3 linked regions of the Alligator mississippiensis genome follow. Each later gene encodes a partner of the first gene's protein in a complex. Links are inferred from orthologs where the notes say so. Each region holds a gene or a part of one and is shown on either strand. Other genes may lie near its edges.

Region 1 (9,727 bases):
GGCTCATTAGTGGCAACTTGAGTAAAGTCTTGCTTACCTGTAAAGCACTCAGTTATGGGTTGGAGATCTAAGGATATTTTAGGCAGCAGTTATGATTATACTCATAATCATATTTTAAATTATGATTATACTATTATTATTATTTTTACTTCAACTGGGATTTACCATTAACTTCTATCAGCCTTTTCAGCAACAACTGCCTTTATATAGGATTAAGACCCACAAGTTAAAAAGAGGGGAACTCCACCCTCTGATCTCCTGATCCACTGTGTTTTTATGTCTCTCATAAATTGAAAATTCTCCAGCGCAGGCAGTAGGCGACTGGCATCCAGAATGGCACTTAGTATACAACAAACTCCAGAATCTCACATTTTAAGGAACCCCAATAACAGTTCTGGCAGCGTGCCCTCGACTTGATACAGCAAATCTAAAAGGAAACAGGGGAACCATACTGGCTACATTGCTAGAAAGCACATTTATGAGCAAGGCCCAGAACATCAGGAAAATGCACAGCACCGTTTCTGGTTATGATGGTTGCAAAAGGAAGGACTCTTGTTACATCCAAGAACAAGAAACTTTCTGAAAGACACTTGAGAGTCAGCTTATTAACTGTTTGAATCATTTCAGCAAACTTGGGGGGGGGGCTAAAGTGAGTGAAAGTACTTTGCTGGAGTCATGAATTAGACCCTGCATCTAGTATGACCTATCACTGAGGACCCTCATTACAAAGCACTAAGTGAGACTCAAAACTGAAGTCCCACTTATATCCATGGTGTACTATCTTATAGTCACCACATGCTTTGCACTGCAGGTTACTCCCACTTGGAAAACTTACATAATCTTTTCTTGGAAACACTTTACAAAACCTTATATATCAGCCAACAAAGGTGAAATTCAACTGGTCAGATTTGAGCATGGCTGAAAACTATTTACATCATGAAAAAAGTGGGTTAAACCTTCTAAAATTGGTTTATGAGGATTTTTTTTTTACAATAATTCATCAATCCAAAGGAATGTTTAACAATCATTTGTGCTAGGTGAATCTACAACGGAATTCAACAGAAGGGACTAAAAGAATCTCCATCTTTCACTAACACCAATATTTGTTTAGATGCCTTCTCTGTGCTGACATCCAGGGACTGTGGAGTGCTAACAATGTGGCTGGCTGTTAACTAGAGAGTTAAATTATTGCTATCTCTATGGAATGACAACGTGGATGACACAGATTTCATTTGCTGGTTCAAATTTCCAAGTCTCTGACAGGGAACTTCATCACGTCAAGGAAATACTGCAGACTGCTCTCTCTCTGTCCCTAACTCCCCTCCCCCAAGCCCTAGCAACTTAACAGTAACTTTAACACTGCACACTATAGAAAGTCGCTTTCTTACAGAAATCAATAGGTCACTTTTGTTTGGTTGCTGCATACAGGTAGACAGGGGGAGAGAAAGAGAGAGAGATGTCTTCACCTTCCCACCACTAGATACCTAGTTGAAGTCCATAGCAAATCATGATACGAAAACAGGAAAGTTAACTGGTAATGTGTTCAATACTAAAAACAATTAGGCTATCTCCGTACAATCCATGTGCATGCACGGACCACTTCTGATGGACTTTTATCAGCTGTCAGCAGCAATCATAAAAGATTTTAGATACTCAATGAGGCTGTACTGCCAACTTAACTTTGTTCTTCCAGATAAATTGAAACAGAACATCTTAAGTAGAAAAAGCATACTAGAACTGAAAAGGAAGTTAACTGAATCCAATACTCATTTTTGTGGCTTAGACCAGTCTCTTATGCTCATCTGGAATAAGAAGCCAGGCTAAGTGTGGGATGCTTACGTTTGAGTTTTTGACAAGCATGAACTGAGAATATTAAAGGGAAAGAGAAAAGAGCATCTCCCTTTCTACAAAACCCTCCTGCAGAGCCTAGGTCAGTGCCAAGACTGTAAAGAAAGTTTCTTCCAGGTTTGTTCAACAGCCACTTACAAGATTGAGAAAAGATCCTGGAGGGCATGGAAAGAGAAGAGTGAAAGAAGACTCAGCTGGAATAACTAAGGTGGGGAGATGTGGAATTATCAGAAAAGCATCCTGATTCAACTAAGCTGGTAAGAATGTCCAACAGTGCTAAAAAGAGAATTATAAAAATCAGAACATGACAGTGGGGCCTGCTCAACAGGACTGCTCCAAAGAGCTGGTATTTTCTGCTTTCTTTTCGGAAAAGCCAAACAGCCACTTTACCCTCCCTCATGGTTTTTAACAAGTACTTACCAATCGCCCTTCTGAAGTTTTCCATCAGGACTTCTGTCTTTTTTATCTCAGTTGAGTAGACCTCGCTTCCAACCATAGGACAAAAGGGAACCTTACTTCCCAATTCTTGAGCAATAGCCAGCGCCAAAGCAGTCTATAAAAATTCAAAACATTTGAAGATCATACACATATATTTTCAGAAGAAGTAACAAGAACTTATGGAAAAAAAAGATTACTGCTCCACAAAGTTAAGAATAAATACTATTTTAATCTTCACAGCATTCCATTTTTACAGGTGGAGGAAAATACCAAGCATCCTTTCTAAAACTGAAGTAGGGGGTAAATCAATTCACCCCATGAACCATGCCTGCTGACGTTTGCATACTTCTCTGTGCTAGAGCACAGGGGCAGGGGAGTTGGGAATGATCATCCTTACTTACTTTAATATGGTCAGAAGGTGGATAGCAATACTCCACTTCTCAAGATCTGCAACTGAAAGGCTCTCCAGATGTTTTCTAAACATTGAAAGCTCATGGAGGAAATTTAGGCTGGAGATTTGGAACAGCTTCCTCACTATGAGGATGGTTAAGCATTGGAAACAGGCCACTGAGAGAGGCATTGCTGTCCCTAGAAATTGTCACGAGCAGGTTAGATGGACACTGGAATGGTTTACATGGAAATGATCTTCCCTTGAGCAGGGGGATGGACTAGATAACCTCATGAGGTCCCTTCCAGTTCTACTTTCTGATAAACCTAATTCAATGCCCCAAATCTCTAACAAAATAGGAATCCAACAAGTGAGAAAATGGACGGGGAGATGGAGAGACCAGAAACCCTTAATTCTTCTTAAAAATAAAAATCCTCAAGCTTTTCTCCCTTGTTTCTTACATGCAGAAACAAACCTGTGCATATACACACGCACACACACACACGGGTTTTTACCCAAGAAACTTAAGAGCACCAACACGAAGAATTTTAAAACTCCGGATAGTGCGGAGAAATCATTTTACCATCTCTCATGAAAATGCTTAAACCTTAAGTAGTGCAAAAAAAGTTAATACTTTTAAAACCCCAATCCTGGGGCTTCCTCCAAAAAAAACAGACTTCATAAGACTATGATACCGTCATTTTCCTGCATTAGTGTTATGCGGCTGATACCTAGATGAACTATTGGTTTCTGCCAAAATACGTATCGCAGGGAGATGTGATGTCAAGCAGTGATCAGCCGCAAAGGCCACCCTGGTTCCAGTCCAACATGACTGCCGGGGAAGCTGCCTGGTGAAACGGTGCCTCAGAAACAGTCGCGGCGGGGAAGCCTTTTGGCCCCAAGCAAAACGATACCTTGCCAGTGCCGGGCGGTCCTGCCAACAGCACGGCTCTGCCGGCCATCTTCTTGCTTTTGATCAATTCCACTATCACACCGCAGGCCTGAAAAAAGGAAGACATGTCCGTAGTTACCAGCCGGTCAGAAACGTGCCTTCAAATGCGTAGAACGCAGAGAGGCAGCACGGGTGTTATTGCAGGGACAGGGAAACTGAGGCCAGGGCAGAGGAGGGGGCTGCCCCAGAGCTCACCATGTTGCCTGGGGGCAGCGGGGAGCGGGGGGGGGGGACGTGTGGCGGGGGGGGGGGGTCCGTCCCACGGGGGAGGAACAGGGAGGGGTTCATCGCACGGGGTGGGGGAGGGGCAGGGTGCATCCCGCGGGGGAGGGGCGGGGGTCGCGGACCTCGCGCGCGTTCTCCTGCCCCACGAGCCCGGCGCTCGCGGGCTTGGCGGCGCCGCTGTCGTCCAGGCCGAGCCCCTTGACATGGCTGTGCGCTGCGATGCGCTGCGTCTTCGACGTGCTCTTCACCTCCTCGATCTTCATGGCGACGGCGGAGACAGCAGCGGCAGCAGCGGTTCCCACGCGGCCTGCGCGTTACCTAGGCGGCCGGCGCCACGGCCCCGGCCCCGCCCCCCGCGCCGCCATTGGGTCCCTCTGCGCCAGCGCAGCTGCTAATTGGGGCTTGCTCGTGTCTGTCACAGCGCGGGGTTGCTTTTCTTTAGAACCCGCCCATCCACTTCCGCTTGTGCGACGTTCAAAAGGCTCTGCACGGGTGGCCGGGGAGGAAGGTTCCGCGGGGTGTTAGAGGGTGTTGTCTCAGCCGTGGTGATCGCTCTGTGTCCTGTTGGCTGGAGGGGAAGTGAGGTCAGGGAAGGTCCATGCAGCTTTCAGTGGCAGTGACTGAGAGTCCCTCTCTTCTGTCCCCAAGCAGTCACTTTGGTTCCCAGGCTCAGCTGCTGTATGCAGCAGGGGTGGTAAACCTGCCTTCCTGGCTCCCGTCCCCTGGAAGGGCCTTTGCTGTGTGGTTGTTGCCTTCTTTGATTTTTTTTTTTTAATTCCTCACTGTGTTTTCATGATGGTTTATCCTTGGCACTGGGAAACTAATCATCCTGCTGCTCCTCTCCCTCTTCAAACTGAGTGAAGAGCTGAGGTATTGACCTGACCCAGCAATGGTCCCAGTAGGCGATGCCATGTGGATGCCAAATCCAGCCCCTTTCTGGAGCTTGGTGTTAGCAACTAAAGGAAGAACAGAAGTGGGGCTTTGTTTCTGTCCACTTACAACATAAGAACTGCCGTCTTCATCCTGTCGTGCAGGAGGGCTGCCCTGATGCTGCTGTCCAACAAGGGGGACTCCTGTGACCTGAGGAACTGGCACCCAGTCTCGCTCCCCTCTTCTGACTAAGGTCATAGCAAAAGTCATCTTGCTGTGCCTGAGTCTGTGCAGGCAGATGTGATTCACCTCAACCAGATATACGGTTGCAGGGTGCTCCATCTTCGACAGCCAGTACCTGGTGTGAGACCTCCTTGAGCTTGCTCGCAGGGACAGCCTGTCATTTGTCCTCCTTTCCCTTGATCAGGAGAAGGTGTTTGACAGGGTGGATCACAGATACCTCACAGGCACGCTGAGGACATTTGGCTCTGGTCTCCACTTCGTGCAGTTTCCCCAGGTGCTGTATGCCTTCACAGAGTGTATGGTCAGGCTCGATAGGACACTGACAGAGTCCACAGCTGGGAGAGCATCAAGGTTGTCCACTGCCAGCCCAGCTCTATGTCATTTCCTTTGAGCTGTTCCTCTGCCTCCTGCACAAGCAGGTGGTAGTGCTGGTGCTCAAGGAGCTGGCCATGCGAGTGGTTCTGTCACCATATGCCACCAACATAAGCCTCACCGTCCAAGACCCGGGTGACCTGGTGCATCTGGAGACCTGCAGATCCACCTACTCAGCTGCCGCCTCTGTCTGGGTCAACTGGGTCAAGAGCTCTGGTCTGATAGTGAGTGACAGGTGGCAGGTGAGCTTGCTCCCACCTGCGCTGCAGTACATCCAACAGAGTGTGGGCTCGCTGCTCCATCTGGAGAGCTGACACAAGTTGGAGGCACAAGCTGGAGAACTGACACAAGCTGGAGGTCAGGGTGTTTGAGCAGCTGCAGGCATGGGCAGGACTGTTACAGTGTCTCTCCCTTCATGGGAGGACACTAATCCTCAACCAGCTAGTCCTGTTCGTTCTTTGGCATCGTTTCAACACCCTGGCCATGCCCCCAGATCTCCTGGCCAGTCTCCAGAGATAGGTACTAGGTTTCTTCTGGCTGGGACATCACTGGTTCTCTGGAGGTATCCTGAGCCTCCCCATGCAGGAGGACATGAATGGCCTGGTCTGCCTCTGCAACCAGGTCCACACCTGTATTCAGGCCTTGAGGAGGCTGCTGTACAGTGCAAATAGCCAGGCAATGTGGTGCCTGATCAGCTGCGTTTTCCTCCACCACCTCTGAGGGTACTGGTGTGACTGACAGCTCTTCTCCCTGTGAGATCTCCCCAAGCAGGACCTGGAATAGCTGCCAGACTTCTCCCAGTACCTCCTTAGGGCCTGGAGGCTGTTGATCTGGGTCCCCAGACACAGTCACCCAGACCATTGACCTCCTCACTGAGCCGCTGCTGAAAAACCTACAGCTGATGGTGCTGGTGACAGAGGTGCCCTGGGTGCACTGGAGGATGGTCCTGGCCAACATCACTCATATTGGAGACCTTGGGTGGGGCCAGTTTTGTTCAATGTCTTCGTCAATGACCTGGAAGATGGCATAGAGTGCACCCTCAGCAAATTTGCAGATGTCATCAAGCTGCAGGGAGTAGTAGATATGCTAGAGGGTAGGGCTAGGATTCAGAGTGAAATAGACAAATTGGAGGATTGAGCCAAAAGGAATCTCATGAGGTTCAGCAAGGACGAGTGCAAAATCCTGCATTTAGGATGAAACAATCCTGTGCACTAGTATAGGCTGGGGGCTGCCTGGTTGGGCAGCAGCTCTGCAGAAAAGGACCTGGGGATTACAGTGGACAATAAGCTGAATATGAGTCAGCAGTGTGCCCTCATTGCCAAGAAGGCTAACAGCATACTGGGCTGCACTGGTAGGTGTATTGCCAGTAGGTCAAGGGAAATGATTATTCCCCTCTGTTCAGCATGGCTGAGGCCACATCTGGAGTACTGTGTTCAGTTTTGGGCCCCCCACTACAGAAAGGATTCATATATGTTTGGGTCGGAAGGGATGTTAGCAGGTCATTGAGTCCAACCCCCTGCCCTGGGCACAAAAGAGTGCTGGGGTCAGATGACCCCAGCCAGGTGCATGTCTAGCCTCCTCTTAAAGACCCCCAAGGTAGGGGAGAGCACCGCCTCCCTTGGAAGCTCATTCTAGTTTCTGGCAATCCTGACAGTAAAGAAGTTTTTCCTGATGTCTAACCTAAATCTGCTCTCCTGGATGCAGACAAATTGGAGAGTCCAGTGGAGGGTGACAAAAATGGTGAGAGGGCTGGGGGACATGATTTATGAGGAAAGATTGGGGGAACTGAGCTTATTTAATCTAGAGAAGGAGACTGAAGGAGACGTAATAGCAGTCTTCAACTACCTGAAGTGGGGTTTGAAAGAGGATGGACCTAGACTATTCTCAGGGGTGGCAGAAGACAGAACAAGAAGCAAGTCTCAGGTTGCAGCAAGGGACATTTAGGTTAGATATTAGGAAGAATTTTCTCACTAAGAGGGTAGTAAAACACTGGAATGGGTTACCCAGAGAAGTGGTGGAAACTCCATCTTTGGGGGTTCCCATACCCCAGCTAGACAAAGCTTTGGCTGGAATGATCTAGTTGGGGCTGATCCCGCTTGAGCAGAGTGTTGGACTAGATGACCTGAGGTCCCTTCCAACCCTAACTTTCTATAATTCTACCTTCTGCACTATGCTAGGCAGGGGTGGGCAGATCCTTCTGCGCTGGCCCAGTGCATAGAGCTACCCACACTCTGTGCTCCCTTTCGCTTATTCCAGGAGGTAGAGGCTGCACTACCACCCACTGCCTTCACCTGTATTGACAGGTCCTGTATGAGGGCAGTCCCCATCCCCCAGCACTCTGGAGCTAGTTTTGGGGCACTGCCTCAGCAGAGTCCACAACACCCACCACCCAACTATTGTAGCAGTCTGGGGGATATCAAGCCAGTCCACGTACAAACAACTGACTGCTGCCAGCTTTACATGGTCATGCTGTGCTCAATCCATCGTCGTGTCCTCATGTCCTGCCCTGACAACAAGTGGTGGGACACTCTAGGTGATGGCACGGGCAGGGCTGAGGGTCCTCAGTGGACAAGTCTGTATTCCACCTTGATCCCGTAAGTCACCGGGGACCTCAGTTGGCAGCTTCTCCATGGAGCCATCACCATGTATTTGGTGCACTTTACAGACACCCCTGACACCTGCCCCTTTTGCCAGCAGAGGGAGACCCGGGCACATGCCTACCTCGAGTGTGCCAGGTTGCAGCCCCTCTTCCGCCTCCTTTAGAACCTCCTGCTGAGGTTCTGGCTGCATTTTTTGTTATGCACTCTGTGTCCATGGCCCCACTAAGCTCTGGGATATCTTGGTCAACTTCCTCCTGGCTCTGGCCAAGCTGGCCATATACAAGACCAAGAAGAAGGCTCTGGCTGGGGGAAACCTAAGTGAGTGTGGGGCTGTCTTCCTGTCACTCCTCTGCTCACATCTCTTGGCATTTTAACTGGTTGGCATCCACAGGCTTCCTTGACTCATTAAGGGGGCAGTGGGCACTGGCTGGGGTGCTCTGCTTGGTGTCCCCTTCTGGATCCCTTGTTATTAACCAATAAACTCACTCCCCTTCTTGTTTTTCTTTTTATTTGCCCCAAGAAATGAGTTTATCAGTGGCCTCCCCCATTAAGAGATGCTTATAGTTTCATAGTTTCATAGTTGCTAGGGGCTGAAAGGGACCTTGCAGATCATCAGGTCCACCCTCCCTGCACATGGACAGGAAAGTGGGCATCAAGACGTTTTTTGAAGATTGCCATGGTGGATGACTACCACTTCTGGGGGGAGCCTGTTCCAAACCCTGGATGCTCAGGTTGTAAAGAAGTTTTTCCTTATGTTGAGCCTGCAGCACTCTTCAATCAGTTTATGCCCATTATTTCTTGTCCTTCCCTGAGGAGCCTTGGTGAATAGATGCTCCCCCAAACCCTGATGTATGCCCCTGATATACTTATAGGCTGCAACCAGTCCCCTCTGAGTCTTCTCTTCTTCAAGCTGAACAATCCCAAGTCCCTCAGCCTCTTCTCATACGTCTTGTTCTCCAGGCCTCTAGTCATGCATGCGGCCATTCTCTGGACTCTCTCAAGCTTCTCCACATCCTTCTTGAAGTGTGGCATCAGAACTGGACACAGTTCTCCAGTTGTGGTCTCACCATGGCCAAGTAGAGTGGGAGGATAACATCCTTTGCCTTGCTCAAGATGCCACAGTAGATGCATGCCAGCATTTGGTTAGCTCTGCCAGCTACAGCATCACATTGGTGGCATGAACGCTGTATGCCCCCGGAAGCTGGTGGGACCCGGCGAGCTCTCACAGGTGGCGGCAGTGCATTGGTGGCTCATGCTCATTTTGTTGTCAGTCATGACACCCAGATCTCATTCAGTTATGGTGCTGGCAAGCAGAGCACTGCAGAGCCTGTAAGTGTGTTGTGGGTTATTTCTCCCCAGATGGAGCACTTTACATTTCTCTGTATTAAATGACATCAGGTTGAGAGGTCTGCCCACTTCACGAGCCTGTGCATGTTGGCCTATATTGTCAGCCTGTCTTCGAGTGTGAAAATGCTCCCCCACAGTTTGGTGTCATCAGAGAACTTTGCCAGATTGCTTGTAATACCTGAATCCAAATTGTTAATGAACATATTCTTCTGGAACCTCTCCTGAGCTCCAGGAGTCTTCAAATAACTTCTCCATTGCTCATGTGATGATGTTGGCCAGTTCTTTTAGCAATCTCAGGTGTAGTTCATCCAGTCCTGTTGACTTATAGATATTTAGCCTTTGTAGGTGCTCCCCCAGAAGATCTACGTCAACTATGGGAGAGTGGTCACCCCCACCATGGTCACCCTGTATCCTGTCAAGCAGACTAATACCCTTGGACTGGTG
Region 2 (10,327 bases), on another chromosome or scaffold:
CTGTGATGGGAGGCTCCAGGCTGGACACAGCTCAAGGGAGGCAGAAGAGGGGATAAGCCTGTTCTGGACACACCCAGACTCAGATAGGGAGAGACCACAGCCCAGCCCTGCTGGGAGAATCCGCTGAGCTAGGGAGGGACTTGGGGTTTGTACAGCGCCTAGCACCAGGGGCAGCCCAGGGAATCTGAGGCACCATGTTATTGATTAGTAACAAAGCTGGGGGCTGGAAATTGGAGCAGCCTGGCCGCAAGGAGCTGGGGTGGGGGAAGCTTTGGAGGCCACAGGCTGGGGTGTCACTGGTGCTCTAGCCATGTTGGACCCCACCAGGAAGCACCTGGGTGCATACAGCCAGCTGGAGCTGGGGCCAGGAGGCAGCTCAGGGACACGCATCCACCCACAGGACATCACCTGCAACCGCCAGCTTGAGAAACCCCAGCCCGGCTGTGCTACCCAGGCAAAGCTGCAGGTGAATGGTCTGGGGGCAGGATGGGAGGAGCTGGCCTGAGCTCCCAACTGGGCAGACACTCCCCCCACTGGCTACAATCTGACCTCTTGGTGGGGCATCTCAGCGATGGATCCCATGCAGCGGCTCCAGCCACAGAGCCCCCGCAAGAGCCAGGCAGCAGCAGCCTGTCACAGCTCCAGACCCCTCCCCACTCTGCTAGAGGCAGCCTTCATTTCACTGCCCCGCAGGACTCCGGGGCTCACGGACACAGCCCAGCCCTGCTCCACCATTTGTGGGGCCTCTGCACCCATTTCCCAGGGCTGTCCCAGGGCTCAGGAACTGTACACAGCAGTCTGTGTTTCGGTAGACTCTCTGTACCCCCCCTTTGTTTACGAGGGCTGTCCCAGGCCTCAGGAGCTGTACATGCTGGTCTGGGCTTCTGTAGGGTCCCTTTCCACCCCATGTCACCTTGGGGGCTATACGCACCTCTATGTTTCTGTAGGGTTGCCACCTGGCTTTGCATTTATTATACAAAAATAAATAAAAAAACAAAGAGCAACCAGCAGCCCCCACCTGAGCCTGACAAAGGCAAAGGGAGGAAGAGGACACGGGGCCATATGGAGGCTTCCAACATAAGTCCGTGTCCCCTGGAGAGGTCAGTCTGCTTCACCCCCAAAAATAACAGCAATAGCAGCTGATTCAGTCCCACAGGCCTGAGAAACAAAGACAAAGCTTCCTCCCCTTCCCCCTGAACACAGGAGCCCCCCACCCGCCCACAAGGGCTCTATGTAGCCGGGACTGTCTGCTTGATAATGATCTTCTGGCGGGTGGCGCGGATGCCAGGGTCAGCCCCAGGAGGCCCAGCTCCCAGGGCAGCGGTGGCAGCAGCATTGGGCAGCCCATGAGCAGTGATGTACTTCTTGTACGCCTCACGGATGATTTTGAAGGCCCGGATGTTGGAGTAGGGGATGTCAGTGACAGGGTCGCGATACACGGCCGGCTTGTGGGTCACAGGGCAGATCTCGCGCACAGGCAGCCGGGGCTGGCGCCCCTTGGGGAAGAGCTGCTCGAAGGTCTCATCGTCGCTGAAGGTGATGAAGGTGCGTGAGCACTTCCCAGTGATGGGGGCCACAGCTGGTGCCAGCGCTGCCTCTGAGGGCTGGTGGAGATCTTGATCCAACCTGGGCATGGGGGAATTACCACTGGGGTGAGTCTGGGCTTCAGCTCCAGGAGACACAGGCATCCAGGGAGAGAGGGAGCAGGGCTACCTGCGCTCATGGCAGCCACCTACATGATCCCCAGGGCCTCTGCTTGGGTCAGTCCATCCCCATCCCCAACCCCGCCCTTCAGAGCCTGGGGTCTAATCCAGGTTGGTACAAGCTAAGGATCTGACCAGGCCCCAAACACCACCCTGGCAGACCTATGTGAATCCATACACACACAGCTCTGGTCCACAGACCATCCCAGCTCAGAGCAGCTGCAAGCCAGAATGTCAGGGCATTGCAGCTGAGTTGCTGGCAGCTGCGAGATGCCATGGCCAGGACTGGGGGCAGTGCCCAAGGACAGAGGTTGGTATGCGGGAGCCGAGCTCCAGGATCTACAAAGGGAAGGGGCACAAGGATTTTATGGAGAAGGGCTGGACTGGGCCCAAGGGTCCCCCTGCGCCCTAAACACCTACCCCTCCACATCCACGTTCTCCTCCTTGACGCCCAGGTCGGTGATAAGGGGCATGGTCACCGAGTGGTACCGGATCAATGGCCCCACGCACTTGCGCTTCTTCTGCACCTGCTTCTTCTTGTCGGCTTCCAGGCGCTCGTAGTTCTCTGCAGGGATGAAGAAACCGGATGTCAGCACAGCGGGCCTGGGGGGGACCTCACTTCAGCGCCTAGGGTGCCAGGCCCCATCTCCTGCAGGTACTTGCCCACCACTGGGACACAACTCAAGGTGACATGTCACAGCAGGCGGGTCAGTGCCCCCCACCCAGGGGGGAGACAGGGGTCTCCCCTAGCAGGCAGCCTTTGCAGAGCCAGCCACAATCATCATCTAGTTCCCAACCATGCACCGGTGAGAAGAGACAGTGCCCATTCACATCACCCGCAGACTTCCAATTAACACTGGGGGGAAACTGAGGGTCAGCGGTGAAACGAATCACCCAGCCAGGTAGCACCTGAGCTGGACAAAGAACCCAGGAGTCCTAGCCACCGCTAACCACCACATCCTGCTCTCCTCTGGGTAGGGAACCCAGGCTGGCAGCTTCTAATGCCTCTGTCTTCTGGGGTCCTTTGCTGCCCGTGAGCCCCACCAGCCCTATCCCTCCATGACCATAGCCCCAGGCCCATCCCAGCACCCTCACTGTACCCCATGGGGTGATGGCCATGGTCCCACCAGCCCTATCCCTCCATGACCATAGCCCCAGGTCCATCCCAGCACCCTCCTTGTACCCTATGGGGTGATGGCCATGGTCCTACTCACCTAGGGAGCGCAGGTTGATCTCCTCTGTGATCTTGGCCTCCTCCAGCAGCTCCTCCTGTGTCAGGGGACGGTCATAGTTGGGGCCGCCCTTCTTGCGCTTGGACTGCACCTGACGCTCCTGAAGGCGCAAGAATGTCTGGCGGGTGTGCTCTGTGGTCGACTGGCGCATGTGCTTGCGGCCTGGTGGGGACAACAAGGTGGGGGGGGGGGTCAGGGGGCACGGGGGACACAGAGCAGGGAGGCAGCCCCAGGCTCCCAGAGACAGAGGAGCCAGGGGAGCTCTGCTAGCGAGTGCCATGCATGCACTTACTGTCCCCAGCGTCATCCTGCAGCTCCAGGGGTGCCACCTTCTCCTCTCGGGCCTTCTGTGAGCTGCCGCTGGGGGCATCGGCCTTCTTGGGTCTCAGGCTCTTGAGGGGCTCCTGGGGGAGTCACAGCAGAGCAGGGTGAGGAAGGGGAGAGCTGCCGGGGGGATGCTACCTTCCTCACCTGTTACCCCTCATGGGTCAGTTCTTACCACCAGGCACCTCCTCCTCCCAGGGAGGCAACCCAGGAGGCCAGACCCCAACTCTGCTGCTGAGTCCAGACCCCAAGCCTCCCCAACGATCCCCTTCCCGCTGTAGCGGGCCTTACCCCCTTCCCAGCCGCCCCTCCCTCAAACATCCAGGTGACCCTAGTGCATCTGTAGCCCCCTTTGACGGGAAGCCCCGTGGCGCACAGGATGCCTGGGTCTTTGTCCCAGACATCCAGCCCCTTGCGCCGTGGAGCGGGCGCCTCCCCTCCCCCAAACCCCCACGGGAAGCAGAGCCCCGGCCACACCTTGTAGGCCTTGGTAACCACGCGGCGCTTGCGCTTGGGCTCGCCGTCCTCCTGGTCGCTGGCCGGCTCCTCGCCCTCGTCGATGTCGAAGTCCGAGTCCACCTCATCGTCGCTGTCCGACTGGTCGCCTTTGTACTCGTCGTCCCCCGACTCCTGCGGCACCGCCCGGACACTGCCGTCAGCCCCGGCCCCCCCACCGGATCGGCCCCTTCCCCAACCCTCCCAAAGGGCCTCGTGCCCCAGCCACAAAGGACCCCCCACAGACCCGCCCCTCTTCCAGCCCTTCCCAAGTGCCCCCCAAAACCTCTCCCCCACTCTCCTATGCCCCAACCCCCCATAGTGCCCACCCCAGATGCCTCCCACCCTAGTGGGCCCTGCCCCCCAATTACCCCCACCAGTAGGCCCCGCCCCCAGTAGCACTCCACCCTAGCAAATGACCCCATAGGCCCCGCCCTGGCAAACTCCGCCCTCCCCGGGGTCCCTCCCGCGTGCGGGCGCACCTCGGTGAAGCCGCCGTACGTGGTCTGGTAGAACTCGTCCTCCTCGGCCTCCAGCAACCCCGAGAGCCGGTTGCCCGCGGTGCGGCGCGGCGCCCTCCCCTCCGCCAGGCTCATGGCGCCGAGCGACGCGCCGACCCGCCACTGCGCGGCCTGGGATCGACCCGCCGGCCAGCCACTGCGCGGCCTGGGAGCGCCGAGAGTGGTGCGGGAGGCGAGCGCCGGGAACCAATCGAACGCTGAGTGATCGCTGGCGGCTGCGCAGGAGGGTGGAGCCTCGCTTGCCCCGAGCTGCCTCCTCGCAGTGGCCCCGCCCCTACTCTAACCCACCACTGTGGTCTCCCATCCAGGTGTTGACCCTTCTGGGCCCTGCTTGGCTTCTAAGATGCTGCGGGCGCCCCAAGCCTAAGCTGGGCGCCCGGGGGGTCGCGCATGCTGCTCCCCCGGCAGCTGCCCCAGGAGATCTGCATGTCTGCACCCAGGGGCGGGCCCTGCCACCCTGCAGGGAAAGATGCCCACGTGTTGGGGCCCCTTTAGCCTTTCAGCCACGGTCTGAGACCGAGGTAAAAGGGGTGCGGATGCTGTGGTTCATTTTCCCAAAGGACACATCACACGTTTTTCTCCCGGTGAAAAGAAACTGGAAGTTTTCATAGATGTTAGGGTCGGAAGGGACCTCAATAGATCATCGAGTCCGACCCCCTGCATAGGCAGGAAAGAGTGCTGGGTCTAGATGACCCCAGCTAGATGCCTATCTAACCTCCTCTTGAAGACCCCCAGGGTAGGGGAGAGCACCACCTCCCTTGGGAGCCCGTTCCAGACCTTGGCCACTCGAACTGTGAAGAAGTTCTTCCTAATGTCCAGTCTAAATCTGCTCTCTGCTAGCTTGTGGCCATTATTTCTTGTAACCCCCGGGGGTGCCTTGGTGAATAAAAAGTCACCAATTCCCTTCTGTGCCCCCGTGATGAACTTATAGGCAGCCACAAGGTCACCTCTCAACCTTTTCTTGCGGAGGCTGAAGAGGTCCAGGTGCCACAGTCTCTCCTCATAGGGCTTGGTCTGCAGGCCCTTAACCATACGAGTGGCCCTTCTCTGGACCCTCTCCAGGTTATCCACATCCCTCTTGAATTGCGGCGCCCAGAATTGCATGCAGTACTCCAACTGCGGTCTGACCAGCGCCCGATAGAGGGGAAGTATCACCTCCTTGGATCTGTTCATCATGCATCTGCTGATGCACGATAAAGTGCCATTGGCTTTTCTGATGGCTTCGTCACACTGCCGACTCATGTTCATCTTGGAGTCCACTAGGACTCCAAGATCCCTTTCCACCTCTGTGCCACCCAGCAGGTCATTCCCTAGGCTGTAGGTGTGCTGGACATTTTTCCTCCCTAGGTGCAGCACTTTGCATTTCTCCTTGTTGAACTGCATCCTGTTGTTTTCTGCCCACTTGTGCAACCTATCCAGGTCTGCCTGCAGCTGTTCCCTGCCCTCCGGCGTGTCTACTTCTCCCCACAGTTTTGTGTCATCCGCAAACTTGGACAGAGTACACTTCACTCCCTCATCCAAGTCACTGATGAAGACATTGAAGAGTATCGGTCCAAGGACCGAGCCCTGCGGGACCCCACTGCCCATGTCCTTCTAGGTCGATACCGACCCATCCACCACAACTCTCTGGGTGCGACCCTCTAGCCAATTCGCCACCCACCGGACTGTGTAGTCATCCAAGTCACAGCCTCTTAACTTGTTCACCAGTATGGGGTGGGATACCATATCGAAGGCCTTCCTGAAGTCTGTATATGACGTCAACCCCTACTCTTGCGTCCTTTTCCTACTAGGCCATGGGCCTGGGGCTGTAGTCTTCACTTGAAGATTTGTTTTTGCATCCATCTAACTTTATTGGAATGAGTTCAAGGCAGTCAGCAGGGCTGTAAAATAGGAGCTCCGTGCCCAGGAGCGTTGCAGAGCGGGTCCTGGCTGGACTGGGGGAACACTGAGGCCATTACATAGGAGAGAGGGTCGTTAACAGCTGCGGAGTGAAGAGTTCAGAAGGAAGCAGGTAGACGAAAGTGAGCCATTAAGTCCACTGATCTGTCAGCGCTGCCTGACTAGAAACACTGCTGCCACTGCAGGCTTTAAACTTTGGGTGGAGCAGGAATCAGAGAGGTGCGCATGCATCAGTGCATCCCCCTGGATCCACCCCTACTGGGGCCTCTGCCCCCACAAGGTTCATGGCCTGGGGGGGTCCATCCACAGGTGAGGGCAAGAGCTGGGACTCTGCCAAGGCCAAGGGATAGCGTGCGTGCATCTCAGCTTACCAGCAGCAGCTGGCAGCCAGCTTGATTAGTCTGATCACAGCAGGGACCTGATAACCTCTGGTCTCAACTCCTGATCCAGGGCTCATTAGATTCCCTTTTATGCTGTTGACTTTAGCTTTCCTGCCATACCTCCTGGCTAATGGCTGGCACAGAAACAGCAGCTCTTTAAACTCTGCTCCATGGATCTATCGCACCTTTTCCCTTTTGTTTTATCGCTGCTAACAATGGTTGCAGTGAAACGGGATCTCCCTGAAGAATTCTGCTGTGAAGCCTTAACTCCCAACATCTCAATGCCCCACACAAACCTGCTGGAAATGTCTTGGGGAACTCAGCCTGGGGTCCCAGAACAAATCAAATGTTTGCTTTAACAAATCGGAGGATTGGACCAAATTAAATCTCATGAGGTTCAACAAGGACAAGTTCAAAGTCCTGCTCTTAGGGTGGAACAAGCCCATGCACCAGTATAGGCTGGGAGTGGCTGGCTGGGCACCAGCTCTGCAGAAAAGGACCTGGGGGTGACAGTGGGCAATAAGTTGAATATGAACCAGCAGTGTGCCCTTGTCACCAAGAAGGCTAACAGGATCCTGGGCTGCATGATCAAGAGCGTTCGTTGTAGCAGATAGAGGGAAATGAAGAGTGTTTGTACTCGAAAGCTTGCAAATAAGATTTTTTCCAACAATTTTGGCTGGTCTAATAAAAGATATCAGATTTACCCAAAGAACCTTGTCTTCCTAGTCCCCTCTGTTTGGCACTGGTGAGGCCACATCTGGAGTCCAGTGGCCAGTTTTGGCCCCCTGCTACAGAAGGGATCTGGACAAGTTAGAGAGAGTCCAGCAGAGATCAACAAAAATGGTTGTGGCACATGATTTATGAGGAGAAACTGAAGGAACTGGACTTATTTAGTCTGCAGAAGAGAAGACAGAGTGGGGATTTACTAGCAGCCTTCATCTACCAGAGGATGCATCTGGGCTGTTCCCAATGGTGGCAGATGACAACAAGGAGCAATGGGCTCCAGTTGCAGAAAGGGAGGTGTAGGTTGGATATTAGTAAAAACTTTCTCATGAGGAGGGTAGTAAAGCACTGGAACAGGTTACCCAGAGACGTGGTAGGATCTCTATCCTTGGAGGTGTTTTAAGACCCAGCTCAACAAAGCCTTGGCTGGGATGATGTAGTTGGGGCTGGTCCTGCTTTGAGCAGGGGGTGGGACTAGATGTGACCTCCTGAGGTCCTTTCCAACCCTCATTTTCTGATTCTATGAATTCTCACCCCAAACTCTGAGTTTCACTTGGAATCAGAACCAAAGATCAGCCTCTGGTTTGTTCAGATCTGTTTTTAGCAAATTTGCAAAAGCTGATTGACAGGTTCCCTGCGATTTCAGGTTTCATAGTGCATGCTTCGAGGGGTGTTGAAACCCATGTTCCTTTTATCACGAAAAATCCACCGCAGCCTGTTGTGATCGGACTTGAGTGGGGCAACCTCATGTGAAGAACAGCACCCAGGGACAGTTGTATCTGGCTTCAGAAACAAGGATCTGCAGGCCAAGTTCAGCCATGGTGTAAGCAGGCACAATCTCATGGAAGTTCAGGGCCATGACACCCACTGAATTTCGTCCGAAAAGAGACATAAGGTAAATCTCAACTTTCAACAGCATAGTCTCTCCTGAGAGAACTTTGCAGCAGTTCCCACGGGGCTTGGATTTGTCTCCGTGTGTTCATGGCACACGTCTGTGCCTAATTAGGTGATCTCAGATGAGGTTTGCAATACACCCAGAAGCACCTCACAAGACTACTGAGGAGATGCATGATTAACCACTTACCAGGTTGCTAAGCTATTTGCTGTGAACACAGCTCCTTTTGCTTAGGTGCTTTTGAACTCAACAGGTGCTTTCACACCCCAGGAATCTCCAGAGCATTTTGCCATCAGGTCATTTGAAAGGTTTGATAGATACAACAAATGTCTGCATTAACTTAGGGTCATAAAAAAGCAGGGTTGGTAGGGCCCTCCAGAGGTTGCATCTAGTCCAGCCCCTTGCTCAAAGGAGGATCATCCCTGGAAAACCCTTGCTAGACAAGTGTCTGTTTAACCTGCCCTGGAAAACTCCCAAGGAGGGCGATTGCACCCCCTCTCTGGGCATCTCTTCCAGTGCTGAACCACCATTGTAGCTAGGAAGCTCTTCCTAACATTCAAGCTAAATTACCCTTGCTGCAATTTAAGACTGTTACTCTTTGTCCTGTTTCCTGCAGCCACAGAAAATAGTATATCTCTACCCTCCCTGCATTTGGAGACTGTTATCAAGTCCCCCCTCAGTCTTCTCTTCTCCAGACTCAACCTTCCCCATTCTTTAGGCCTTTCCTCACCAGTCCTGTTCCCCAGACCTCTGATCATTTTTTATTTGAGTCACTGTAGCACAGCCTGGGAACTGTGTCATTTCTTGCCTGCTCTGCACTGGTGTGAACGACTATACAGGACACAAGGCTACTGCACATCAAACCCAGAGTCCAGCATATGTGTGTGTGCACTTGCATTATTCTATGTGTCTGAGAGTCCCCTCCTCTGTCCTTCTGATCTTGACAGCGGTGTTGCCTTCAGGTAAGAGCAAAGGAACTGGAGATTAGTTTCCTATCTGTTTTTTTTTTAAGCTGAGCACACTGAATGGCAGAAAGACCTGTCCCTTCATTGTTTCCATCAAATAAAAAGTCAGCTTCTTCCCTGGCAAAACCCCACTGACTTCAGTAGTATTATAGCAGGTTCAGTTTGGGCCCAGAAAACAAAAGGGCCAGATTCTCTTACCCTTACCTGAGATGAATACAGTAAACTTGAGATGAATAACCCCCTGCTCTAGTTTCATACCCCGTTGTCCCAATTCCCCACCAGTAATTAGCTTGGGGTAATTGGTGCCTCTGGGATAGTTCATCCTGATTTGCATTCCTTTTGGAATGGCAAATGAACCAGAGTTTACTGTAGTTCCCTGCTCTGATAATGGTCCCCATGAAATTGGTAGGGCAGACCCACAGGCCTGCAAACTCAATGGAAAGACTCATTAATGTCAAGAGCTTTGGCTCAAGATCAAGGTAGAGGTGTCAGAGTTCGGCCCCACAGGCTGAGCAGAGGGTGCTTTCTCTGACCCCTCTCTATCAAGCGTCCTCAGTGCTCAGGTCATATCTTCCAGTCACTGGAATACCTCTTGGGGGTCCAGACAGATGTTGTCTGTTTTAAATCAGGAAGTGGGGACTGGTTTTGTGTCCTCTTGTTCCCCGATGTGATTAATACCTGGGGGACTCAACCATGAATCATCCCCACTGATGCCGTGATGTCCCACAAGGCATCGACCTCACCATGGAGATGGATAGACAAGAGGCACAAAGAAAGAGCTGTGATCCAAAATCACCAGGATCCATTTCTTCCCTCTGGAACTGGATGCCACATCTTCAGTCAAACACACAACTCTTGGATTGGCCTCTTCAGACATGTCTGGACTCACCGGTGAATCCTCTGACTACTGGAACATGATCATGCTCGTATTGAGGAATTGCTAACGTTGGCTCCTACATGCCATGAGGCATTAGAAGGAAAGTCCCACAGCTAATGCCTTCAGCCAGGGATCTGGACCGCGGGGGCTTCTCACGGACCTCTTGGGTGCTGGCAGCTGTGGAGGTTAACACCATTGCATCTTGCCTTGCCCCTGGAGAATTGAGCCCTATGGGGATCCCACCCATGAATTCATCAGCAAGGCAAACAACAGTGCCTTTAACCCCCTGGGTTAACTCTCTAGCAGCCACGGG
Region 3 (10,270 bases), on another chromosome or scaffold:
TTTGCCAGGACAGGTCTAGCATCCCAGTTCTTGCAAAAGTTGCCACTAGAGACTTTTTAAAATAATCTTGTTGAAAAACAGCATCTGCAGCAGCTGGAGGATCAGTGAAAAGAACACCCGTCAGAATCTGACACCATTGTCTGCAGAGGTTGGAGGTCGAACTCTGCTTAGCTTGATCAAAAATCTAGGAGGACAGCTAGAAGCAAGAGGGGACCAAATGTAATGTTTACATTTGCATGCTTCAGTAATCAGAAAGAAACTACAGCAGCACTGAGATTTTAGTAACTTATTCTCTCTCTAAAAGTCCACCTAAAACCACAAATAGCTTGGACTAATTCCAACAGAACTGCATCATATTAAGTTGTCTATTAACATGGGTATGCTTAGTGAGGACTCTCACGAGGGAAAAAAAAATGGACAAAAGAAAAAGCTTCTCCACACCCTTTAGAAGCTGGAATTAACAGGAAGAAGGCTGGAGAAAGTTTGTCTCTACCTCAAAATTATTACTAGGATTCAGGGCACTAGTTTCACCTCTGATAGCCAAGGGTCTTCTTCCCCCCATGCCAAAAATGTCTTGAGTGGGGGAAGTCTGAGGCCCCATAAAACACGGAGTTGCCTAGCCTCAAGTAGCAGGAGGAAAGAGGTGTTATGGGAAATGTCTGTAGCAAAAAAAAAAAAAGGTACTGGAAAAGTAAAGTGAAGCAGTTCCTAAAAAAAAAGGTACCAGACTCAGTAGGTATGTTGGTTGGGGCTTGCCGTCTTAAAGAGATTGAACACTTTGCATACGTGCAAACACTGCAAACTCATTGGGGAAATACGACAGAATGCAACCACTGGAGAAATAACATCCCTCCACCAGACAGCCATACACTTCTCTTTCTTGAAGAGCTACAACACCATTCTGGCCCACCAGGGAGCCGGATGACAGTGCACGTATCAAAAAGGCATGATGGAGCTTAATTAGGCATACCAATATCAAAGTGCTATGGCAGAACTCCCCCCGCCCCCAGCATTTTTACAGATGATCCTCCTCCCCTAATCTTGGGCAAGAAACTGTGTTGCTAAACTGGCTTGGGACAGATAACTGGCAGCTACTCCCTACTGCACACAACCATCTAACCTGTATGGCAGCTGAGGTAACAATGTGTTTAATGCATGTCCATGCAGGTGACTATGTGCCTGCGCCATACAATGCACATGCTCTTTTGAAATCACAACCAACTAGAAGGCTAGCCAGAAAAAGTGAGTTACACAAACCAAAACACAACACAAAAGGGGAAATAAGTATTTAATCAAAACATTTCCTTAATTATGTCCTGATGGAAACCAAACTCAAGGGTTGGCAGACTACCATGAGTAGAAGGCAAAAACCTGCAACAGAAAACATCCTGCCCTTCAACCTAGATAGCTCTTCCCCGTGCTTTCTAGGACGAGCACTCTGGCAGCTGTTAACTGCTGTGACAGCATGGATTTGGAGGCATAGAGGAAGGTTTCAAATATCCAGATCCAAGTCTATTCAAAATATTAACTACACTCGCCAAATCTTGAACAGCTTCCAGATACGAGAAAGGAACCACTACAGTGCTTTCATAAAGATTACTAAAGGCTCATCTCACAAAGATTTGCAGCTGCACCACACAGACCTCAGCTTATATTGAAACTTAACCCCAAAATATGTAACTATATTATAGGCAGCTGAGGCACGGATCAATACATCGAGGTCTGCATTAGAGGGGAGAGGTGTAACCTCTAGGACAGTTGCATCACATCAGAGGCTACTACTAGCACCTAGTACTACCTGCATGAATACAGGAGGTAATGCACCTCCGCAGGACCTACAAGCTATTAACCGCAAACAGACTCAATTCATCAGACATTTTATCACTGTACAATATTTTTCTTTAAGTTTTATAAGAAATTTGACATCCATACTTCTTTTTTTTTTGGTTAGAAAAGACTTATAAATATACATGGTAAGCTCAGTCCTAACTCTAGATGGGAGTAAACTGTAAGCACCAGCAACTGAAGTGATTTTTTTATTATTACATCTCTTTCACACAAAAGCTAACCAAAATCAACTAGAACCATTGGAAATGTGCAGATTTATTGTATGTCTGCCCTCTCTGGTTCTGTGAAGCTAAAACCTTGTCAGAACGTTACAACTATCAGAAATGCAAGCAACTCAGCAGCAACTTAAAGGCAACATATGAGGAGATTTATAAAAACATCTCTTCCGATTCCCACTTTTTACTTCTCCTCTTGGGAGGACTCATTTCTAACCAAGAGTGTGTTGCCAATTATTGCAACAATTAAAAGTTTCATCTGCAAAAATCATTACACAGTTTTGCCCTTCAGTTTGTGCACTTAACAGCGCTTTGTCTATTGTCAGTCTCACCTAGCTGACAGGGGCCTTCTGAGGGTGGAAGCAATCCTCACATATTAGAGGTGTTCTTTAAAAAGTTAGGACTGGAGTACCACTAGAAAATTGCAATTGCTTTTTAAAAACTAATTAGATTTCAAATTGATGCCAGAAACACAACAACAAGAAAAACAAATCCTACAGAGCAAACAGAAGTGTCAAGATAAAAAGAAATCATACATAAGTGGGGAATTATCCTAACACTTAAACTGTGTTGTCCCCTAAAGTCCTTGGGCAAAGAAAGCAGAATACTAGGAAAAGCAGGAAACGTAGGAGAAAGCAACAGCTTCGTTTCAAAATACAGTTCAGCATCAGCAGGCAAAAAAATAACCAGCTTAAAAGCAGAAAGCCAGCAGGAAGTTCAAAGGCAAGGATGCTCGGGGGCAATGTCTTTTATTGAACCAGCTGCACACTGCAATAAAAGATATCACCCACTAGATCAGTGGTTCTCAACCTTTTTCAGTTGACATAGCCTTTGGTGTCAGAGTGAGACTTCATGTACCCCCTTTCAATGGGAAATTAATTTTTTTAGGCCCTTCGACCTCTGTTAGACAGTGTATGAAATATATCTCACGTACCTCCGAATGAGGCTTCACGTACCCCCGGGGGGGTACGTGTATCCCCGGTTCAGAACCGCTGCACTAGACCCTCACCTCCAACATAGTGTGGTGACCATCACCACTCCAGCAGCACCACCCTACCATGTTCAGGGCACTGGGTGGGCACCCTGCAGGACTGGAGTCAATTTTCAGGGAGTCAAAAACCAGGGAAGGCAAGGAAGGGGACACCTCCAACTTCTCCACCTCCCCAGCAGTTACGTCCGAGGAAGTACAAATCCTGTTTTCCAGGTCCTAGTCGTGTCCCACTGCACAAGGCTGGAGCGTTTCAGTACCAGGACCTAGATGATGTTGGGTTTTCTCCCACGTAGCCACGGTGTGAAAACCAGAGACTAAAATAACAGCAGAGCACGAAGCTCCCAGGCTGGCATTGCAGAGCGACAGCTGTACTCCCCTTCACGACCTCCCGTCCCTCTGGTTCTCTCCCGAGCGGCTCCTCTTCGCTCCGACGTCCCGTCAGCCCCAGCCGCTTTCCTGCTCCCGACACGACAAACCCCCTTCCCGCGGGACGTCCCCTCCCTACAGACGGCGGCTGCGGGGTCACATCTCAGGCCCCAGCGGCGTCGCCAAGCGTCCGACAGTTATCCTATTTCAACCCTCGTACGTGTTTGTACGTACGTATCCATCGCACGCGCTTGTACAAACACACGTGGATTCGCACGTTCTCTCAACGCTGACGTCCCGGCAGCCCCAGGCCTTCCCTGTCCCCGGCATGACCGACCGACCAACCTTCCCGCCGGACGTCCCCTCCTGGCGCCCAATTATCCCACCCGTGCCATCGCTTCAACCCTCTGCACGTACGTACGTATCCGCCCTGTGGATGTGCACGTACGAACGAACCCACGGACTCGCACCACGCGCCGCAGCAAAAGCGTTCAGAAGACACGCACGGCCGTTCGGGAGGCCGCGCATCGACGCGACCCCTGAGTCGCTCTTGCCGACACGAGATAACGAAGCGTTTTGGGGAGCGCGGTTGGCGCGGGGAGGCGGCTGGTTTGCAGACCGAGGGGGCTGCAGCCTCTCTTCCCAGCGCACCGGAGTTGTCCACGCTCCCCACACGCTGGCTGCCCCCCGGCCGGGCTGGGACGCGCTCCCCCGCCGCGGGAAGCGGCCCGGCCGCCCCGGGCTGTGGGGACGAGGCGAGGGGGGAGCGAGCCCGACGCTCCGCGAAACTTTCCCGGGCCCAGCCCCCTCCCGGCGGCCGCCCCCCGCCCGCGCCGCTCACCAGGTCCTTTGTGTTTTCCATCAGGCCCTCATGGGCAGCGGGCGGCCGCCGCCGCGCCCGGCCCTGCCCCCGGCTCGGCCCGCGCCGCCTGCGCGCCCCCCCGCCGGGCCCGACGTCCCGCCGCGCGCTCGGGCCACAGAGAAAGAAACCCCAACTCCCCGGGCCAGACTATCAACAACATTAGCATCCCCGCAGTGCGCAGGCGCGGCGAGAGCCCCGGCCCCGCCCCCCGGGGCTTTGCGGCCCTCCCGGCTCGCCGTACTCGCCCGGCGCGCACCATTCCGCGGTGGGGGAAACGCGCGGGCTGCGCTGCCCGGCGGCACACGGCTTCACCTGCTGGTTGTTGCCGAGCTCCTGAGGGGCACGGCGGGGCGGCTCCGTCTCTACAAAGTTCCTGGAGGAGGAGGAGGAGGCGGCAAGCGCAGCCTACAGCCCCCCCGCGCAAAGGGGGCGAATGGACCGGTCCAGCTGTCACATGGGGCAGGAAGCGAGGCGTCACGTGATTGGGGTGGGATTGTCACGTGAAGGGGTAGTGTCACTTCCGCTTCCGCTGAGCGGCTATGGAGGAGCAGGTGGTAGCTGGCGCCGGTATCCTGCCCGGCGCGAAGCGGCGCCGGCGGCACAGGCAGCGGCTCGCGGGCGGTGCGGAGGCCGGCGAGGGGGCGCGGCTGCCGGGCGCGCTGGGCGAGAGCGCGGCGGTGGAGCGCTGCCTGGAGGCGCTGGTGTTCGGCGGCGTCCAGGAGGCGGGCGAGGCGGAGCTGCTGCAGCGCCTGCGGGGCCCGAGCCAGCAGGTGAGGCCGGGCAGGAGCCTCGCTGCGTGCCCCCGCGCCCGCGTGGCGCCTCGAGGAGCGGGTGGAAATGCGGGGGGAGCCGGCAGACGGGAGGGGCTCCCAGCCCTGGGCCTTGCAGCGGGCGCGGGAGGGGTCTGCCAGGCGTCCCACGTGGCGTCCGGCCTCCATCCTGCTGCCCTCGTCCTCGTCCCCCCCTTTCTTTCTCCACCCTTTCGTTGGCGATGTTCATCCTCCTGCCCTGGCTGTTCAAACACACTTGCTGCCGGCCGCCTTCGCTTCTTAATTGTGGCCCCCGTCCTAGGCGGAGCTGGAAGAGACCTCCAGCGGTCACCGAGTCCCGCCCCTGCGTGAGGCAGGATCGTCCCGACCCAACCGTCCCATCCGCCCGTCGTCTAGAGCAGACGGGTTGCGCACCGCTGATTTAAAATGAGACCACCTTTACCACCAGTGACTTACTCACTTCAATCTGATGCATTTTTGTCGTGTTTAAGTAGTTATTAATTGTTAATGTGTACTGCTGATGGGTTGTCTGCGTACCGCCGGTGGTGCATGTACCGCAGATTGGGAACAGCTGGTTTTGAGCAGTGGTTCTCAACTTTTTTTTGTACTAGGACTCGTTTGTAAACATCAATGGCTAGTCCCGACCCGGTGTCCTTCACTCCCAAAAGGCTGCCCCCAGGCCCTACCCCCCCCCCCCCTTTTTGCATGGGTATGGGGCAGCAGGGGCCCTGAGCATCTCCTCGCAGGCTGGGACTCTGCCATCCAGCAAGGGGAAAGCCACGGTTTCCCATGTTTATCTCTGTTAAAGGAGAATCCATTTTTAAAGTTTGTTTGAGACCCTTTCATATGTTCTTGCAACCCACTTTTGGGTCATGACCCACGGGCTGAGAAACGCTGATCTCATCTCTACGTAAGAGTAGATCATGCACTGCACGGCCCCCCCCCCTCAGCCTCCCCAACCTAGGGCTGCACCAATAGAGAGGTTTTTGGGGCCAATACTGATAGCCAGTTTTTAAGGAAGCGTATCCGCTGATACCAATACAGCATGGAGAGCTGTGTGCAGCTGGTAAGTGTGTTGTGGTGGAAGGGGAGGGAAGAGGTGTGGGGGCCCAACCTGCAGCTCCAGATGCTGCTCCAGAATTGTGCCACAGAGACGGACGCATGTGGTGCAGATCCCAGAGTAACTGGAATGGGCACCTCGTGGCTGTCAGCTGGGGGCATGTAGATCCCAGACTAGCCAGAGCAGGTACTATACTACATGCGGTGCCTGCCGTGGCCCGACAACTCTGCACACAGCACCCACTCTAGCCAGTTTGGCACCTGCACTACATGCAGTGCCTGCAAGCACCGTGTGCAGTGTGGGTCCCAGACCAGGAGTGGCACCATGTGTAGCACAGTTCTCAGTGGGGGTGCCACATGTGGTGCAGCCTGGCCAGGGAGGGTACTGGCCGGTCTGAAGTCTGTGCTGTGCACCCCCTGTTATAGTGTGCTGCACACAGTGCCTGTTCTGGCTGCTCTGCGATCTGTGTGCACACAGCGTGGATCCCACAGTGGCTGGAGTGGGTTTTGAACCCAGAATGCCAGGGGAAGGGAGGGGATTTGCAGGCCTGATTCGGTCTGTGGACTGGCTCTGCACCACTCGTTCAGTCTACAGTGATGGATGAGTTTGACACCTGCTACAACTGCTTTGTAGGCAGCCTTTTTTACTAGCCTGCTTTACCTCTCATGAGTCTGTCTTCTAAACTTCCCCTTCTGAGGAAATGGTTTAGCGATGAATTGCCATAGGACTAACATTTGTTTTTTCTATGTGTTTGTCTTTACAGGAGATGGTGATTGTTTACACTTGCTTTCCTGAAAAGTGTCTTCTCAGTTTACAGTTGTTAAATTTGTTATTTTAGGATATGTCTACAGGTACACTTGGAGCTATTTCAAAAGGGAGTGCTTCAAAAGGACAGCAATTATTACTTTATAATTGTTATCTGTGAAGGACAAACTGGTACAATTGTAACACAACTGCTCCAACTTTAACACTGTTTCAACCCCTGCTGCTGCTTAATAAAGCAGCACTGAAGTGGGAGTGGTCTTGCTACATTTCTATTGTTGCTGACTTGTTCCTGAATAACAATTAGGAGGTAACAGCTCTTGCCTTTCGAAGTGTTCACCTCTTAAAATGACTCCAGGTATACAGGTGCCTGTACCCTTAGACTTATGTGTGTTTGTTTGTTTTTAAGCTTGATGGGGTAATCAGTGGAAATCTTCTGAAAGGGGACTCCAGTGATTCAGAAGATGAAGCACAAGACAATTTTCCTCTATCTAAGAAACCAGCCTGGGTGGACGATGACGATGAAATTAAAGAAAAGTAAGTTCAGTACGTAGCGACCAAAAAGGGGGCAGGAGAGGTGGGACTTTGATTAGGTTCCTTTTTAACTGCCTATTTCTTGGAGGTATACTGAGAACAAAGTCATTAAACTTGCAATTTTTTATTCACATCCTAAATATGGCTCTGTTGTCTAGGATTGATATGACCCATCGGTATCGGAAAGACATGATGAAGAGTGATGCCGAGAAGAGTCTTACCAAAGAAAAACTTCAAATAAGACTTCAGGAACAGTAAGGTTTTTTCCTATACAAACAGATTTTGCTAATCATAAATCTTGCTGCTAATTTCAATAACAAGAATTGATCTAATAGCAGTATTAAAAATGCCTCCTTCCCCCCCCCCCCCCCCCCCCCCCCCCGACAACACCTAAATACTCAGCATGTTGCAGTGAAATTTTACTTGTGCTTTTGGAGTAAGCAACCTTGATTTCCTTAGCATTAATCCTGGCATTACTCCTTGAAAGAGAGGATTTGTGTATTTTCTTTTCATTCCAAGGGCCCAGTTTCAAATTTGCGTAGGTATTGTTTCACCAATGCATTGGAACATAGCAGTAGTTTTCGTGCACAGCAATACAGTGGCGAGTAAGAAGGGAATATAAATAAGAAGTTGCCTGAGGGAGGAAAACAGTAGCCGAGTAGAGATCTGACAGTTGCAGTCAGTGCTGGGTCCTAAAAGGAGACAGTGAAGTGTGTTAATCAGTACTATTAGGGAGGAGTGTTTAGTTTAAAGGAGAGAGACAACATTTTGGTGAAGACAGAAGTTGTGAGCCCAAACGTACAGTTTTGTGAATATAAGAAAAAGTTGCTGCCACTAGAAATGTAAATACCTTTGTATTTAAGGGCTTTCTGGAATACATGTGAACATAACCATGTAGGAAAATGTCACTTGTTCAGTTTTGAAGTTACTTCTGTACTTGGACACTTGGAGTCTGTCTTTCCATGGTTAATAAAACCAGCGTGCCCAAGAGTATTTTATAGTTACAGCAGTTTGATCTCAGGCTGTAGAAAGTGTATTTGGTGGGAGCAGACTAGAAAAGCCCTTTAAAAGAAGGAAAGGACGGTTTATGGGTGTCAGGTAGGAGTGTGGAACTCTGTCAGGCACAAGATATTGTTTTCTACAGTGATGGTTGGGAATGGGGGAGGAAATAATGGCTCTCTGGAAAATGGGTTCTGGGCAATGTGTACATATTATTCATTCTTTCCTAAAGAGGAATGTATTCTATCTTTTTAAGGTTTCAGAGAGCTATGGGAGGAGTGCCTTCATGGGCCCAGAGAGGAAAGAAGAAAACCAAGAAAGGTAAGATATAAAATAAGAAATGATGATAATTAACATGGTCAGTAAAGTATTCAGTGCTTTCAATGCATCTTACTTTGTGTTACCACTTAGAGCTTTATTTTTTTTTTTTACTGTTACTCCCCACCCCTTAGAGTAAACTATGCAGAGATGTTTTTAGCTTTGGCTCTTCAATGCACTTTTATTTATGACTGACTTCTACCTGCTTCCCCCAAAGCAAACATCTGATTATCTTAAATTTGTGAGTTGAGATACTGGAATAAACTGTATATTCAAGAATTGGCTTCCTCTTTTAGATGACAGTGGGGATGAAGATGATGATGATCTTCTATGCAAGACTGGCAACTTTGTCTCTATTTCAGAGTCTTTACCAAAAGGTATTTTGCAGGTAAATAACTACCCTGCTGCGCCCTCCCCCCTGGAGTTGGTCTGGGTACACAGACTTCGAGACAGAGCTGTGCTACTCAACTGGTTGGGAAGCAGTGTTTGCCAGTTCCTGTTTGGATGCCTTGTTTACTGAAAGGTTTTCCAGACCTGAAAGCTTGTTTTTTTTTTTTCCCTTTAGGGAACATGAAGTCGGTTGTGTTCTTATCATAAGTGCCATATGATGATGAGAGAGACTTAACAGTCAGTTTCAACACCTGTAGCCCCATCTACTCTAGAAACATTAGCATTAGGGCTGTGCAAAGCTTTGGTCCCTGATTCGATTCAGCCCAATTTGGTGGCTGAATCTCTGAATCCAAATTGAATCAGAGGACCCTTTAATTTCTCCAAATTGAATTGGAACCCTCCAAATCGATTTGGAAATATTCGCCGATTCAGACATAGACGCAGTTTTAAATGTTTTTTTCTACATACCTCTAGGTAGCAGGCAATTCGTGAGTGCTGCGATGCTGGGGTGCATAGAGTGTCCCACAGAAGCACAGGGAGCTCCCCAGCGCAATCGGCAGCAGACCCAGAAGTGGACAAGAAGCACTTCTGGTCCACTTCTGGGGGTGCCAGAGAGCTCACTAGGGGGCCCCCGTACGCACCCCCTGGCTTGGCAACTGGTGCTGCCTGGGTCTAGCGGGGGGTCATAGGGTCCTCCTGTGGCTGATTGCCAAGCTGGAGGGGCACAGGAGGGCCCCCCAGCACGCTCCTCAGCGGACACGGAAGTGGACTGGAAGTACTTCTGGTCCGCTTCTGGGTTCTCAGCCTAGCACGCAGGGGGCCCGTCCACGCTCCTGTGGGACGCTCCATCCACCCCAGCATCGCAGTGTTCATGAGCTGTGCCTGGTACCTCCGAGGTATATAGAAAAAACATTTAAAGCTGCGCCTGTGCCCGAGTTGCTGATTCTTCGAATCAGCATAGAGTCTTTGATTCGGCCAAATTTGAATCAAAATCAGGGACAGTGATCTGAATCAACAAATCAAATCACTGCCCCCGAATCGGAATACAATAGGGCCCATTTCACACACCCCTAATTAGTATAGAACTCCTAAATGCCAGGATCACCTGATATCTGTTGTACAAGCTGAAAGGAAAGATGCTGTTCATTTCTCAGA

The links. The genes of interacting proteins can lie anywhere in the genome.
Region 2: the proteins of RUVBL1 (region 1) and VPS72 are in contact, whole or in part, in a cryo-EM structure (PDB 9CA9), measured with the Homo sapiens proteins. The link is inferred for Alligator mississippiensis from reciprocal best matches to the Homo sapiens genes RUVBL1 and VPS72. Residues at the interface, in NP_003698.1 of Homo sapiens: Thr136, Leu138, Pro140, Glu142, Met147, Tyr150, Gly151, Lys152, Thr153, Ile154, Ser155, His156, Val157, Asp173, Pro174, Phe177, Glu178, Gln181, Ala187, Gly188, Arg205, Thr208, Tyr209, Ala210, Thr211, Glu212, Phe213; in NP_005988.1 of Homo sapiens: Ile212, His215, Arg263, Thr264, Phe265, Ile266, Thr267, Phe268, Ser269, Asp271, Phe274, Trp277, Phe278, Gln280, Gly281, Arg282, Pro283, Pro284, Lys285, Val286, Pro287, Arg289, Glu290, Ala299, Leu300, Tyr301, Arg302, Pro309.
Region 3: RUVBL1 (region 1) and MBTD1 share a complex: the UniProt entries of both Homo sapiens proteins name them as parts of the nuA4 histone acetyltransferase complex. The link is inferred for Alligator mississippiensis from reciprocal best matches to the Homo sapiens genes RUVBL1 and MBTD1.

Annotation. Positions count from the first base shown.
Region 1 is NC_081835.1:19,183,300-19,193,026, forward strand, and holds the start of RUVBL1 (ruvB-like 1), read right to left. Parts: upstream 4,195-9,727; 5' UTR 4,115-4,194; coding exon 3,974-4,114; intron 3,676-3,973; coding exon 3,589-3,675; intron 2,402-3,588; coding exon 2,269-2,401; intron 1-2,268. UniProt on the Homo sapiens protein: Possesses single-stranded DNA-stimulated ATPase and ATP-dependent DNA helicase (3' to 5') activity; hexamerization is thought to be critical for ATP hydrolysis and adjacent subunits in the ring-like structure contribute to the ATPase activity.
Region 2 is NC_081838.1:20,094,624-20,104,950, reverse strand, and holds VPS72 (vacuolar protein sorting-associated protein 72 homolog), read right to left. Parts: upstream 4,427-10,327; 5' UTR 4,351-4,426; coding exon 4,237-4,350; intron 3,890-4,236; coding exon 3,737-3,889; intron 3,340-3,736; coding exon 3,228-3,339; intron 3,098-3,227; coding exon 2,918-3,097; intron 2,269-2,917; coding exon 2,124-2,268; intron 1,627-2,123; coding exon 1,230-1,626; 3' UTR 939-1,229; downstream 1-938. UniProt on the Homo sapiens protein: Deposition-and-exchange histone chaperone specific for H2AZ1, specifically chaperones H2AZ1 and deposits it into nucleosomes.
Region 3 is NC_081831.1:10,352,412-10,362,681, reverse strand, and holds the start of MBTD1 (MBT domain-containing protein 1), read right to left. Parts: upstream 4,427-10,270; 5' UTR 4,283-4,426; coding exon 4,262-4,282; intron 96-4,261; exon of another isoform or gene 1-95. Other genes in the region: UTP18 (U3 small nucleolar RNA-associated protein 18 homolog), read left to right, coding at 4,822-5,052, 7,284-7,411, 7,567-7,662, 8,664-8,728, 9,022-9,113. UniProt on the Homo sapiens protein: Chromatin reader component of the NuA4 histone acetyltransferase complex, a multiprotein complex involved in transcriptional activation of select genes principally by acetylation of nucleosomal histones H4 and H2A.